3 linked regions of the Drosophila melanogaster genome follow. The protein of the gene in region 2 interacts with the protein of the main gene of each other region in a pairwise test. Each region holds a gene or a part of one and is shown on either strand. Other genes may lie near its edges.

Region 1 (3,882 bases), on a different chromosome or scaffold from region 2:
CTTTTTCTTCTTGTCGAGCGCCGCCTGGGCAGCAGCAGCAGCGGCGGCCAGGACCGCCTCCCTGGCCTTTCGCACCTCCGACGGACTGTGGGCCAGCAGATGGTCGATGCGAAACTTTAGGTTCCACACGCGATTCGCCTCGCGCTCCTCGTACGCCTTATCGAAGATGGACTCCAGGGCCTCCTTCTCGTCGGCGCGCATGTCCAGTATTTCTTGCTCGCTGGGTGGCTCGAGAGTCAGTTGCTCCTCATCGGGAATTCTCATATAGCGACGGTAGAGCAGCAGTAGAGCGGCTTCCGTGTCGCCGGAGCAGTGCTCATAAGCTTCAAGGCAGTGGACAGCCTGAAATCCGTAGTTCTCCAGTTTGGCCAAGGCATATCGGCGCAGGCGATCACCATCACTGTCGTTGCCACGCGTTGAGCTCACGCCCTGGACACTCTGCACCACCAGGGTGCCGCGATCCTGCCAGTAGGAGTGCTTCACGCCATGACCTCCGCGTCCACGATCCTTGTACTTGCTGATGTCGTCCAGCTGGAATTCCGGGCCGTGGATTTGGCGCAGCGTGTCCATGGTCATCTGGCGGGATTCATCGTTGAGCCGAAGGACGTGGAGCTCCGTTTTCCGAGACTTGTTGTCAGCCGCCTGCGATTTAGGCGCCGCGGGCACGTTGCTTTTGGTCAGGGATTGGGAATGTAAGAAAAGCTGAATGTAAGTTTAGCGGCGTACTCACGTGGTACGGATGTCGCTGGGACTGCGTAGGAAGCAGTCCTCCATGTGCTTTCTCGAGGATTCGTCCATGGCCACTGGCAATCGTCAACGTAAGTCAGGTAAGTAAATTTCACAACAAACGCTAGGCAGTGTTGTGCAGTCTGGCTTTTAAAATGTAGCTAGGTCACATGTTTAAAATAGCTAATATATAAACTCTCTAATATATAGATAAAATATATTGTATGTCAAGACACTAAAAAACATAAATTCCAAGTAAAAAATAAACGATATTTGTAACCTCAAATATATAACTCTAATATGCAACTTGATGCCGTTGTGAGACGGCTGTCAAAGATGGCATATGGCTACACAATTGCTAAATTGGCACCTCCGATACCAAATGGCGCGAAAGTGTGACCAGCATATGAATCGAGCTCGATATATTATCGGTACCATCAGCTGAAGAAATTTATTGATAAGCCGCGAGATTCAAAGTTACTTTGAATCGTAGCTTGTTAACGCCTAAAATTTGACGTATTCTGTTACAATTAGCCGAAATTTACCGGCCCCAGTGAGTGTAAGAACGTAAGAGCTCCCGAAAGGATCTGGAAAGGGCAAAAATTAATTAAAGATATATAGAGATTGACTTTGAAGTCACACTGAACGAGTTCCTCGATGGGCACCAGCAGAGGAATTTGTATTTCATCCATACATTCCCTTTTTAGTTTGTAAATAAATCTCATCTAGTTTCCTTTTGCGTTCAAATACAAATTTACTACGACTTCGTATTGCGAACGAATATATACATACATATAATAAAGATGGATTGATAAAGAAGTTTTCGTCTTTTGGCAGACTTGTAAGATATAAGCGGGCATCTATTTATAAAAATAAAAAGAACTTAACACGATTCAGTTCGTAGATCTTAACGTACAATAAGCTAAATTTCCTTAAGCGTAGGGTAAGCGTACGGGTTTGTAACTTAGTATTACCAAAAACAATATACTCAATCTTATGTCTTTTTACAGCCCCGCTTGCCAGCAGGCTTCTTGGCCTTCAGTTCGAATGAATGAGAAAATGAGATAAGGTCTTGGCCAAGTAGAGAATCTGAAGTTTACGCCAACTACATATGATTTAAAGAAAAAATTTACTTCTTAGCAAAATAAATTTTTTTTTATGAAAAGTAGCCCCTGCAAAATGTGTAACCCTCATTTGAAAGCGAGGATCTACACACATCAGTCAGTACGCTCCATACTCTGTTCACGAGAACATCGGATACTCGACCCGATTTTGTACAGAACATTTTCATGGAAATTTTTCTAAACATATTTTAACACTTCTTTGTCAAACTCTTCTTTCCTTAAAAATCAAAATTTAATTCTACTCTAAAAGCCCCATATCATTAGAAATTATCATAGCTCGCGGAGATGGAGAAGCAACTAACAGAGCACATGGTGGAAAGCATGTCCAGGTGCAGGGACTATGCCAAGGCCTTGAAGTTGAATTTCTGTAACTGCGGCCTGAATGACATAAGTCTCTGCCTCAAGATGCCGTACCTGGAGGTCCTTTCGCTTAGCATGAACAAGATCACTTCATTGAAAAGCCTGGTGAGATGCACTCGACTGAAGGAGCTGTACTTGCGCCAGAACGAGATAGCAGACTTTGATGAGCTGAAATATCTAGTCAATGCCAAATCCCTCACATCCCTCTGGCTGCTGGACAATCCATGCTCTATTGCCGCTGGCTCCAACTATCGGGCATCTGTGCTACGAATGCTGCCGAATCTAAAGAAGCTGGACAACGTAGATGTTGCCGAAGAGGAGCTGGAATCCGCTTTGCGATACGATTACTACCCGGACGTAGGGAGTGCGATCCTTAATCCTGTTTTGGATTTAAGCAACTGCAGTCCCGATGACATGGCATACCGCGATATGATCGAACAGTGCGATCGGACGATCCGTCAGGTCCAGCAGCAGCAAAGGAAAAGATTCGCTAGCGGGGATGCCAAAAATATTGACGAACTAGCTCGAATTAGAAGTAGATCGGTGTTGGTGAATGGTGAACGCTTGCCTCTGTTCTTTCCGTCCGATTTGCGTCAGGTGCGTCAGGCTCAAAAAGCTCAGGATGCGCTTCGGAAGCAAAAGAATCAGCCGATTTGGCATAATGAGCAGGTTCAGCAGGCTCATAAGTTTACGATGACTCCGCAGGCTGTGCACGAACAGGTTCAGGGTATTCAGTCAATTTCATCGGATCGGAACGCCGACAGCCCTGCCGCTTCTACCTCGACTTTAGCCGAAAATCTTATCGAGCTGATCAATTCGCGACGCCAAGATGTGGTGACCCCACCCGGACATCTGTTGCCCAATGTATCCTCTGGGTTAGCATTGAATGGCGCTAATTCCACAACTTTGGAGCGGCATAATAACAGTTTGTCGGCGGCTTTGTTACTCATCCAAGATATGAACGCATCCCAACTGGAGACTCTAGTCCTCGCCATCATCGAACAGTTCGTCCAACTTAATTAATTTTCAAAATTAATTTTTGTAACGTGATCTTAAAACCCTAATGATTATTGATTAATGCTCCACAATATATCCATTATATGAAATATATATTTAAAATATATCCAAATAAACATTGTACATACATATATGTATGTAAATAATAAAATGCGATTGCCATGTATTTATGGCAGCTATTCGCATTTTGCAAATTAATCTCCTACATTCGGAAATTCTGATTCAAATGGTGATAGGTATATGTACCTCATTCTTCTTTGATTGATTAATTTCAATATTTAAAGTAGGAAGTCCGTGGAATGCGCTCGACATTTGGCTCGGTAATTACTGTCGCCAGCTGAGCTCGTGGCGTCTTTGGCCAGATGAGTTTCGGTTTGCAGCTACCAGGAAATTTCAGGCCGTGATCATGATAGCGATCATGATGGCCATCAGGTAAACACACCAACTTTTCCGGCTTACAACAAAGGGCGACTCTTGTTTAGTCGTAAATAGAGTTACATGCCACTTCGGAATGGCAAAACTGAGGTTTGTTTCTTGGTTTCTTAGCTTCTTTGTTTGTTTTTTGTCACCGACACCAGGAGACATGTGAGCCCTGGAAATGATAGGGAAACAGACGCCACTCCTCCTCCAGCTGCCCACCGTCTCGGACAATTAA
Region 2 (4,784 bases):
GATACTCGTGGTCAACGTGGTGGCCATGGACATGCTGAGGAGCCGCCTCCAAACGATTCCCAAGTCACTGGATGCGATGGGCATGCGAGTGCCGCTGACGAACAGCAGCGAGGATCCATACTCCACCATCGAAAGCCAAGTGGGATTGATCTATCCTACGCCCGCCGCGTCGGATGATTCCCAGAACTCCCAGCACTCGAGCAACTCCAGCAAGGGACGGCGCAGCATCTTTAGTGCCGCCTTCCTCAACGAGGGTCCATATGTGCCCAAGGTGGGTTCTAACCTAGATTACATTCTACCTGAAAAATTTGGGACTTCAAACCTTTTAACCTGTTTGGGAAAAAAAACTTAGCCTAATAATTCTTATTTGCTTTTTACACTTTGCAGCCCGACTACGAATCTGGCGGATCTTTGACGCCCATATATGCGGACAAGAAGCGACAGAAGAGCAGCGGGTCGCAGCAGCGGAAGAAGCAGGATGATCCGTACTACTGCGGACTCTTGGCGCGTATTCCCAACTTCATCAAGTCCTCGAAGCAGCCGTGCCCTGGAGGAGCCAGCAAGCCCAAGAAGGAGCCAAAGATCTCGCGGAAGATCTCGGCACAGCACCAGCAACAGCAGTTCCTGCAGCCGGCGCAACCCATTCCCATTGCCACATTCCACCACTCGTACTTCCCCTACAAACTGTATCCACCGCAGCACCGTCTCTCCCAGTCGCAAATGTCCCTCTGGGATGCACGTAGTCTGATCAGCGCACATGGTAAGTGACCACTTAATTTGTTAAGTGTATCTCAGTTAATCAGAACATTTCGCCATTTCAGAATGATCACTTTGGCTGGCCCTAATTTATTCATCGTCTAGCGTTAATTCTAAAATTATTTAGTCAAAGCCTACGATTAAGTTTGGTCAGTGAAGGATCATCGATTCACTGGATCACTGTGGAGTGCATTTCGCTCAGTTTTGTGATAAATGCAGCGAAATGCAGCCATTTAGCGTACGTCACTTAATACGCACTAACTCTAATTAACCGCAGTTAACTTTAAGTCAAGCAGAGAGATTTAATGATTATGCAATTTGTAATGAGTAATTAAAATTTTGCCATAGTTTCTTAAATCGTTTAAGACTGAGAGAATGTCCTAGAGCCCACGATAAGCGCACGGAGAGTTTGGCTGAGATTCAGGATGGGGGCAGATAATGTCATATGCAAATTAATTGCTACTTTAGGCAAGTTCAATTTATTATTTTCTTATTATTTTTCTGTACATACACTTCATATGTAAATAAGATCAAATTAAAAACATGTAATCGATATTAGTACGCATTAAAAAAGAGTTATGAAAGTCAATATAAGTGTTTTACTTTAAACGGGTTACAATCTACGCTGCTGAAACTGAATAATAAAGGTATTTTGTATAATTGTGTGTAGTTTGATTTTCATTTACGAGAACATTTAAACATATCTATATCTATATATATTTTCCGACATTTTTGCATTTACTAATTGTGTTTAAATATCGGAACTTAAAATTTATTAAACTGCTTTGCCTCTTTCTAAGATAAACATTGGTGGTGAAAAGTAAACCTGCGCTATCACAAGATTTTTTGTCTCCTAAATTAAATACATAATAAAATGCCGCCAAATTCGTCATCGAACTAAAATCTTAATGTACTAAACGGAGACCATATAAAAACAATCGATTTTCGGTGAGAACGATAACCGATTGCCAGTGAGTGATCTTGTAGCATTGAGGTTACCCGGTCACACTATCACATTGTGTTGCACTTTTTGTGAGGTTTGGATTAGAAAATTATTGGCGCCTCTTTTGCAGAGTTTTGCGACCGACTTCATTGCAATAAGGAGCGCCAGAGTGCGGAGAACATAGCCCGTGACCATGGACAAGTTTCTGTTGCGCAATCCCACGTGGAAGACGAAGACGTACGGATCGGTCGTGGCCAGTTCCGCCGCAGCTGCCAAGAAAACAGCGGCGTCATCGACCCGCCGACCGTTGCACGATTCAAATCTGGGCGACTTCAGGTCCAAAGCAGCGGCACCGTCTCCCAAATCTCTATCCCAGGCCCCGGCAGGTTGGCTGTGCATGCCTATTTTACATTTTGAACACCCAACCCAGTAGTTTTAGTTCCGGATACGTAGCTCACCCAAAATTCGTAGTATTCAAAAAAAAAAAAAAAAAACAGATTACCATGTCGACAAACGAACCGAGCATTACTAACAAGTTGCGTTCCCTCCTGCTAGATGACCAGGCGGCCAGGGATCGGCTGATGCTCAAGCCGGCATTAGCCGTCTCCAAAGCGATCAGCCAGCACCGCTCCGAGTTCCACCAGGACGAGAACGAGGCGGGAGCAGAAGGATCTGCAGCAAAACCAGATCCACCCATCGGAGCAGCCACGCCAACCAGGCAGGAAGGACACTGGGCCCGACTGCAGCAAGATCTCAACAGCCCCAACGCTGCACTCCGATTACGCGCCATTCGTGCATTAAAGTAAGGACAAAAATTGGTTATTGCAATTGTTATTTATACAACCTAAAGGTCAACTAGTGAAAACAGCTCAGATTCTTGACTAATCCATCCTTTTATAGCCATTTTATCGCTAATTTTGTAAAGTTAGATTCTTTAGATGCAATCCCTAATAATTCCATATCCATCAATAACTATTATATTAACAAGCCAGGTTTTTTTGCCAAAACCAAGTATTGATTATTATTATTATTAATTATTGTTTTGCAATGCAATCTAATCTGATTTGAGAAGAAACTGATCATAATAAAAAAAATGCATTCGCTTTTACATTGTATACATTTTTAGAAGCCCCACCAAGTCGGCATACAATACCTTCGATGTGCCTTTAGCCGAACAAAGCATCATCACGATGGAAGAACGCAATCCCCAGGAGCCGCCCTCCCTCCCCGAGTTGCTCAAGGACATAGTCGTATATGTGGAGGTGCGAACTGGAAACGACAATCGCTCTGAGGGCGTAAAATCAATTATTGCCAAGATGGGAGCCCAGGTCAAAGATCGCCTAACGCGGTAAGCTAAGGGATTACAATTGATTGACTAAAATATATTCAATTAAACATTTTTCGTTTGGCTTGTAGAACCACCACACACGTTGTCTTCAAGGATGGCCTGCTCTCCACCTATAAAAAGGCCACCGAGTGGAATATACCAGTCGTTTCCATTCTGTGGATTGAAGCTTGCAAGGTGCAGCTGAAAATATGCGATCCCAAGCAATTTCCAATCAGCAATATACGCATGTACGAGTATCCCGAGCTCTTTGGCAAAATGCCGGTAAGTTATTACTAATTGTGGCTTCTGTTGCATCATCGATCTTATTTATATATTCAAATGGGGATAAATGGGGCTTAAGAAGATAACTTTTAATTGTCACCATTCGGCTTTATAATTTAGCTTGCCTTCTCATAATACTAAGCTCACTGCAAAATACCCAATAACACATTGCAAAAATAGGCTTGTATGTACGTAGATATTAAAAGTTGACTTATCAAGGTCTTCATACAACTTTTAATATTCTTATCATATCATTATTTGTTAGGCCTAACAACTTCCCAAAAGCTTTATCAGATCTAAGACGACAATGTACTTTCGAGTTCATCAACTCTGCATTACATTTTGGTTGGAAATGGCAGCTTTAACTTACACTTCGATTACAAAAGAAATAGGTCTTTAATTAGTCTAATCGTTGACACTATCAATTTATGGCATTGCGGACACAGAAGCATTAACTCCACTTGAGATATGCCCCCAACTAATAGGCCATTCATACCGAGTTTATGGTTTTATGGCGCACATAAAGAACTATATGGAAATTGTACAACAGATAGCCGGCAAGAGGTCTTATCGACCACTTTTCCTGATGACCACGATCACAGTGGGTGGACTGTGGCCCAAAGCACTTGTGCGAGTACAAACATACATATCTGAAATGATTAGTTAATCCAGAAAATGGCGAACAGAAACGCAGGACCGCGGGCCGTCTGAAACTGCACGTATCTCAAACACGGAATACGCGCAATATTGGGAACTCTTCGTGTCGGACAGATTCTTATCACTTATCACTGGCTGACAGCGAGTCAACCAGCTGTTGTTGTTGTTGGCACTCCGGGTTATCTAAGTGAATTTACTTGCCCTTATCAGCTATCGTACGGCCAAAGAAACGGTCAGGAAGTTGTCCGGACGGAGACAGCTACATTTGTGAGGGAAAAAAGCGAGTGGGTGCAACTGAGAGATGTTCATTTGAATTCGTTTAGTTTATTACTTAGACATTAGACGGTTAAAAAAGACACAAGCTACTGGACGCCGGTGACAACTTAAAACCTAATTCACATGCACGTTTGTTTACAAATTTTCCTAGAACAGTTCATTTACATAACTCGCTGGGAATGCTGTACAGATACGTGTGCACAGATACACAATTGCACGGATGTCGTCGCGGCATCGCTGGTTGTCAAGCTTCTTTCTACAAAACTTACACTCTACGCTAGATTATTAGATTCTCGTTTAGGGCTGGTTCTGAGATTTGTACACAGCATGCTTCTATTTACAAGACAGCAGAGTTTTGCGTTAAGTACAGTGGAATCTTTGAGTTTAGCACTAGATTATGAAATCTGCGAGGCGGGCGAAGGCGAGCCGTTCGTTCCTCACGACAGCGCCACCTCCAGACACATCATGATCAGGAAGCCGGATACAGTGCCCCACGTGGCGATCGTTCCATTTCCGCTGGCATGAGCCTCCGGCAGAATGTCG
Region 3 (6,384 bases), 5.5 Mb from region 2:
TCAAGTGTAGAAGATAGATGGTTTGCAACATTATGCTCAATTTTCCGTTCCTATTTCCCCAGCCAAGGGCTCTGAACGTTTTCAATTTTTCAACACTCCCTTTGAGAGCCGGATCCAAAAAGATGCAAATTGGTTGAACTCGAACTGCGAAGAAATGCATTGAAATGGGGCTACGGTGGTTAAATTGCATACATACCTGTGTAGACGATACTCTCCGACAGTTGAAGCAGTCCTATATCATTTCGGTATTCCGATGCAATGAAGTCATGGTGCACAAAGACATTAATGACTGTGTGGACAGCAGCGGGCTCATTTATGTTGCGTGCCCCCAACCTCACGTATCTGTATTTCATAAATCCACATATTTATATATTCGTTTTTAAATTAACCGCGTAAGCACGAATTATTGTAACTTCGAACTTCACTTACAGATCATATCCTCTTACCAAGCAATGAGCAGCACTTAACACAAAACCTAGAAAAAAAATATATATTCATTAATATATAGAGAAGGCAAGAACAGTAATCGCGACTACTGTATACCCATTACACAGCTAGGAAACAGAGACAGAAATGCAGATATGCAACATTTAGTCAATGACATTTAAATACCTTAATTCCTACAAATTTCAACGCAACATGATTAGCTAATGACATATGTATGTGTATTATAGGGTAGAAAAATTGTGCATATACTTGTGACTGGTATGGTATACATAAGTTAAAAAAGACACTAACGCATATGTATAATTGTGCCACCGCATTGAAAATCGGATGAATTGAATATCGCTGCCATCCATATAGAATTTGGCTCGGCTGCATCGTCACCACCGCTAATTTTGGGACGGGTTGATATCCCACAAGGAGTCTCTAAAAACTTAAAGTGTTCATTTTCTGTAACACACAAAGTTAACAAAGATAACAAAGCAACCGAGACCAACGACCGCATTTCTCCCTAGGCAATGTACGACTAAATCCATAACATTTCAGAAAGCTTCTTATCAGCTCAAAACGCCTGAATATTAAAAGATCTTTTGAATTTTCTTTTTTATATGATTTTGCACAACTTTTTGGGTTTTCCCTTTTAGTTTAAATTAAAATAACTATTGATAAGAAAAAAAATCAAAGAATGTTTTTTTTTTTTTGGTTTGTGGGCGTTTTAGGATTTGCATTATTGTGCGTTCCTAGAATGTGCATGTTTAATCTCGCACATGGGAATCTCGGATGAAGAATGTACATACATATGTACATACAATGTGTGCTTTATAAGGTCGGAAACATTTTCCTCTATGTGATACGTTCTTTTCGAAGAATCTGGCGTACCCTTTGACCCACGAGTAACTAGTATGTTAATGCCTTTCAATCAGAGAATTAATATTAAAGATTAGAAATGTAACATTGATATTCACTTAGATATGTTCATAGGTAAAGAAAATTGTACATATAAAGACATAAGATATAAGATGTAATAGTTCCTAACAAAACTTTAGTGCTAATCACGCAGACGTATGATATGACTTATTTTGTTTGAAAACCGTTTGTCACTTAACAAAAAACAATATTGGAACTGAGTTCCAAACTGAGTTTAGTTATAGAACTATCAATAAGTTCAGAAACACCTTTTAAAAATAAAAATATTACCTTTTATTTAAAAAAAATAAACTGGTGTGGTGAAACAATTGGAACTAGTATCTTGTCAATTAAATGGCAACTCTATCGTTCGAAGAACTTTATGGAACACACGGACGCAATCTGAATTTGTGAAAATGGAAGACTAGTCTCTTTTTCGACGTGGAACGGATCAGTCGGTAAAAAAGATAACGCGGCTGCGAATATACACACTTGTATATTTTATTTTAAACTTTAAGGTTTATTGGTATTTAAATTTGTCGCGGCAAATCAGTTGCTTGTGTTAAAGGTTACTCTTCTTCAATGTTTTAAACAATAATAATAAGTTTCCAGTGAAAAATATTTAAATAACAAATTCTGTGAATTTAAGAGAGCGTTAAATGTTGCTCTCTTCTAACACATTTAAGAATTCGCACATGTGTGTGTGTCCAGTCACTTCATGGATACATTTGCACAAGGCTGTATTGGGCATTAATGAAACATTTTTAAAGGCAAAAATGTGCATACATATGTATGTGTTTGTATGTTAAACAAACGTACGGATGAATTTTGGCAGTGAAAAATAAAAATGAGAATCTACATACACATACAAACATGTGGGTATGTATAATAGAAAGAAGGTAGAAAGCAGCTTTCACAAGCCGAAGCCAAAATACCCTTGCACTCAATGTATTTAAAAAACTAGAGAAAATGCTATAGTTGTGGAATTCTATTGTCGTAGGCGTGGCAAAAGGTTTTTTGGTAAATCGATAGAAATGTACAAGAGAATGTAATTAATATGAAAAGGTAACAAAAAATTTTGCAAAAGTGTGGGCATGGCAGTTTTGGTCGGTTTGTTGGCGTAAGGGCATTATCGGTATTTTCCTATTTTCAGCTATATGATGCAGTCGCCTAATTTTGATCAAACTATAACTAAAATTGTATATTGTCAGAAACAACGAGCATGAATTTATAGTCAATTTATCTTTTTATTATTTCTTATCTAAAGTTATATGCATATAGAATAAAAACAGATACGAGCTTCCTTAGAAGCGGACGGAAATAATGTCTCGAGATCTGGACCTTCATTAAGACAGACGAACATTAGGACAAGGCCAGGTCTACTCAGCTAGGGATCCTGATCAATGTATATGTATTTACTTTAAAGGGGCGTAAACTTGTATTTTACATGTTACATACTTTCAAGCGAATCTAGTAAACCCTTTTAATTTACAAGTAACGAATATAAAAAGTTGAATGGTAGCGGGAGAAAATTAATTGTATAATATAATATTATCTTTGTTAATCCAGAGTCTTGGCAACTTGTGCACACAATTTTTTTTTTTTTTTTGGAAACTGAATCAGTTAATTGTGCCAAAATTTAGAGTGTAGATTTCTTGGAAATCTCAATGAATTTTATGGTCAAGTTCCAAGAAGTGAAATGCTTAACAAACAACAAAAACAAAACACACAAAAGCAAACAAATTATGCAGAATTATCGGATGTATTTTATATGTATGTATGTACATACATATACAAAGAATAATAAATGGGTGGGTCTGTTGGCTTCTATGGAATTTCCAATTTAAGCTGCAATACATGTACATTTTAACGTCTTTCTGTACGCTCTCAAATAAAAAAACACAATTTTAGGATTAATAAAAAAACAGATATGTACGTCTTCTATTCCCATATGAAGAAAAATATTCATATGATTTTTTGTTTGGCAGGAAATGCGAATAGTTATTGGATCGTTCACCGCATTTCTTTTGCTGTTATTGCAAAACTCAAATGCCGAAATTCCCGGTTGCGACTTCTTCGACACCGTAGATATTTCAAAAGCGCCAAGATTCTCGAACGGATCGTACCTCTACGAAGGCTTGCTGATCCCCGCCCATTTGACAGCTGAATATGACTACAAGCTCCTGGCCGACGATTCGAAGGAGAAGGTGGCGAGCCACGTACGAGGATGTGCCTGCCACCTCAGGCCATGCATTCGGTTTTGTTGCCCCCAGTACCAAAAGATGCAAAAGAGCAAGTGCTACGGCGACATGTCGGAGGACGAGCTGAACAAGCACGATCCCTTCGTGAACGTGACGCTCAGCGACGGGTCGGTGGTCAGGAGACACTTCAAGGAGGATCTGATCGTGCAGTCGGATCTGGCCAAGCCCGGATGTCCCCGGATGTACTTTCTGAATCACGAACTGCCGGGCAATGAATTCACTCTGTTTGAGGTTACTTTCCTGTGTTTCTGTCACTTCTGAAGATCGTAACCTTTTTTGAATCTCTGTAGAACGGCTCTCTTCTGCGTCACTGGGACAAAGTGGAACTGAGCAAGCGGGAGTACTGCGTCCAGCATCTTTCATTTAAGGATGATAGTATCCGAATTGCACCCCACTTCTGTCCACTTTCGTCTGAGCACTCCAGAACGTGGAAGACCGTTGGTAAGCTGAATTCCCTGCTTGACTTTAAGGTTTTTAGTTAATGTCCATTTTCACAGCGATAGTGATATCCTTGATATGCATAATCCTAACGATCAGCGTGTACCTCTATGTTGAGAAGCTTCGCAACCTGCACGGAAAGTGTTTCATCTGCTACTTGGCCTCCTTGTTCCTGGGATATTTCTTCCTGGTCCTCAACGTGTGGAAATACTCCTCCGGCTTCTGCGTTACAGCAGGTTTGCTTGTGGCGATTACAAGATAAAGGACGACCAATTTCACATTTCGATATCATGATCAGGGTTCCTGGGCTACTTCTCCGTCATCGCCGCGTTCTTTTGGCTTTCTGTCATCAGTCTTACCCTCTGGAATTCATTTAGCGGCAACTCCAGCTGGTTGAACCGTTTCTTGCCACAGAATCGGTTCCTTTCTTACAATTTATACGCCTGGGGCATGGCGCTGCTCCTGACTGCAATCACCTATATAGCTGACCAGGTGGTTAAGAACGAGAAGTTGAGACCCCGCGTGGGCGTCGGCAAAAATTGTTGGATCTACAGTAAGTTACTATTCCTATAATAACAATTGCGGTGTAACTCGTTTTTTTTTTAACCAACAGCTGGGGATATGACTGTCATGATCTACTTCTATGGCCCGATGCTACTGATAATTGTTTTCAACATAACAATGTTTGTCCTGACGGCTTTTCGTATAATGAAAGTGAAGAAGGAAGCACAAAACTTTACTCAACAGCAAAAAACAACCAATAGGCTCAATTCGGACAAGCAGACGTAATAATTTTACCATATTTTATACAGTTCTAAATCCAAAAGTTTAAATTTTAAATTATTTTCTATGGCTTTTAAAGTTACGCCCTATTCCTGCGACTCTTTATCATCATGGGCTTGTCCTGGAGCTTGGAAATAATCTCGTTTTTGTTGAGCAAAAATCAGGCTTGGGCCAAGGCTTTTATGGTGGCTGATTACTTCAATTGGTCACAGGGCACCGTCATATTTCTGCTATTTGTTCTGAGGCCCAGCACACTGAAGCTACTGAAGGAACGGTAAGTTATCGGTTCTTCCATAGGAGGTCCAATTAACCTGGTTCTATCATCTGGCTGAGCAGGATTAAGGGTGGGAGGGATGAAGCCGGCGCCAGCGATGAACATATCTCACTTCAGAATACGAAAATTGACCCCAGTGTTTTTTAATATATGGGTAATGTGAAAATACAGTTTATTAGTTCATTTGGTGTTGGAAACCTTCTATTTTGAATCACTAACAGGCAGCCTAATGATCGTGACCAAAGGCTGCTTTGCTTGCTCATTATTGCTCACATATCGTATGCTCATATGGGCTACGAATATTTGCTACTTATCACTTTTCAAGTATCTTGATTTCTGCACGGTGTCTAAGCATATCTAAGTTTTAATTAAATGTTGAATGTAATTGTCCTTTAAGTTATAACTTTTTGCAATAATAATCTATTCCAATCCATCCTAGACGTGCCATCAAAGCGAGATCAAAGCAACTACTACATGGGGATATGTACGAATCTTATAGGCATGAATACTCGGCATTTATATACCCTGGTCTATTATTATGGATGGAGGATAAAAACTCAGGAAAATACTTTTCGCATCAGCACTTATGTATGCTCACTCGTGATAATAATTTCGTAATAATTCGTACTGTTTTTACTGCCTCAACTTAATTCAAAGAACTACAAATGATTATATTATGACTTTTTATGACAATGACTAACTAAAAATAAAAATTTCTGAATATTTATAAACAACTTTAAAATGTTATTAACTTAGGATAATAATAATAACACAGTTTTAATTTATCAAGCACATCGTTAAAAAACAATAAATTACTTGAATATAAATTTAAAAAAAAAATGGAATATTGGTTTACATTAACGGTATGCAAAAAATCATAAAAAGTCATAGAACTGAACGATAGAGAAAATTACAAAAAAACGATCTAGTCGAGTTCCTCGACTATAAGATACTCATTTCTCAGCTAGTTCTTTCATTTAAAAATTTCTCTTTCGTTTCGATAGTAATTGGCAAGAAAAAATAATAAAATACAACAAATTAATGCATTTTTGAAAATTATGGGCGTGACTGATTTGGTCGGTTAGTGGACGTGTCAATATTATGAAGCAAACGTGGACACTACAAACTGAAATATATATATATATATCATTTCATTGCCCTTAAGTCTGAAAAACGGCTTTAAAATTGAGAAGTTACTTTAAGAGATATTCGAGGTATTCGGTGACAGCAGCGCACATTATCGACTGGCCAATGGGAATATTAGATTTGTAGAATAGG

Evidence for each region. Proteins that work in one complex are often made in the same cells at the same time.
Region 1: the proteins of MCPH1 (region 2) and CG15208 interact in a two-hybrid assay, tested with the Drosophila melanogaster proteins (one large-scale study listed by BioGRID).
Region 3: the proteins of MCPH1 (region 2) and mthl3 interact in a two-hybrid assay, tested with the Drosophila melanogaster proteins (one large-scale study listed by BioGRID).

What each region holds. Positions count from the first base shown.
Region 1 is NC_004354.4:10,898,394-10,902,275, forward strand, and holds CG15208 (uncharacterized protein), read left to right. Parts: upstream 1-1,571; 5' UTR 1,572-1,669; intron 1,670-1,736; 5' UTR 1,737-2,135; coding exon 2,136-3,233; 3' UTR 3,234-3,336; downstream 3,337-3,882. Other genes in the region: CG1582 (uncharacterized protein), read right to left, coding at 1-670, 731-798.
Region 2 is NT_033778.4:11,900,882-11,905,665, reverse strand, and holds the start of MCPH1 (microcephalin), read left to right. Parts: upstream 1-1,747; 5' UTR 1,748-1,892; coding exon 1,893-2,085; intron 2,086-2,127; exon of another isoform or gene 2,128-2,202; coding exon of another isoform or gene 2,203-2,254; coding exon 2,255-2,501; intron 2,502-2,825; coding exon 2,826-3,047; intron 3,048-3,115; coding exon 3,116-3,308; intron 3,309-4,271; exon of another isoform or gene 4,272-4,678; coding exon of another isoform or gene 4,679-4,784. Other genes in the region: reb (rebuf), read left to right, coding at 1-271, 388-760, 822-826; Zip48C (Zinc/iron regulated transporter-related protein 48C), read right to left, coding at 4,679-4,784.
Region 3 is NT_033778.4:17,447,987-17,454,370, reverse strand, and holds mthl3 (methuselah-like 3), read left to right. Parts: upstream 1-1,772; 5' UTR 1,773-1,918; exon of another isoform or gene 1,919-2,229; intron 2,230-3,074; exon of another isoform or gene 3,075-3,282; intron 3,283-3,338; 5' UTR 3,339-3,341; coding exon 3,342-3,842; intron 3,843-3,901; coding exon 3,902-4,052; intron 4,053-4,108; coding exon 4,109-4,285; intron 4,286-4,347; coding exon 4,348-4,602; intron 4,603-4,662; coding exon 4,663-4,834; intron 4,835-4,911; coding exon 4,912-5,106; intron 5,107-5,168; coding exon 5,169-5,253; 3' UTR 5,254-5,260; intron 5,261-5,545; 3' UTR 5,546-5,838; downstream 5,839-6,384. Other genes in the region: CG10764 (uncharacterized protein), read right to left, coding at 1-144, 197-342, 430-475, 739-949.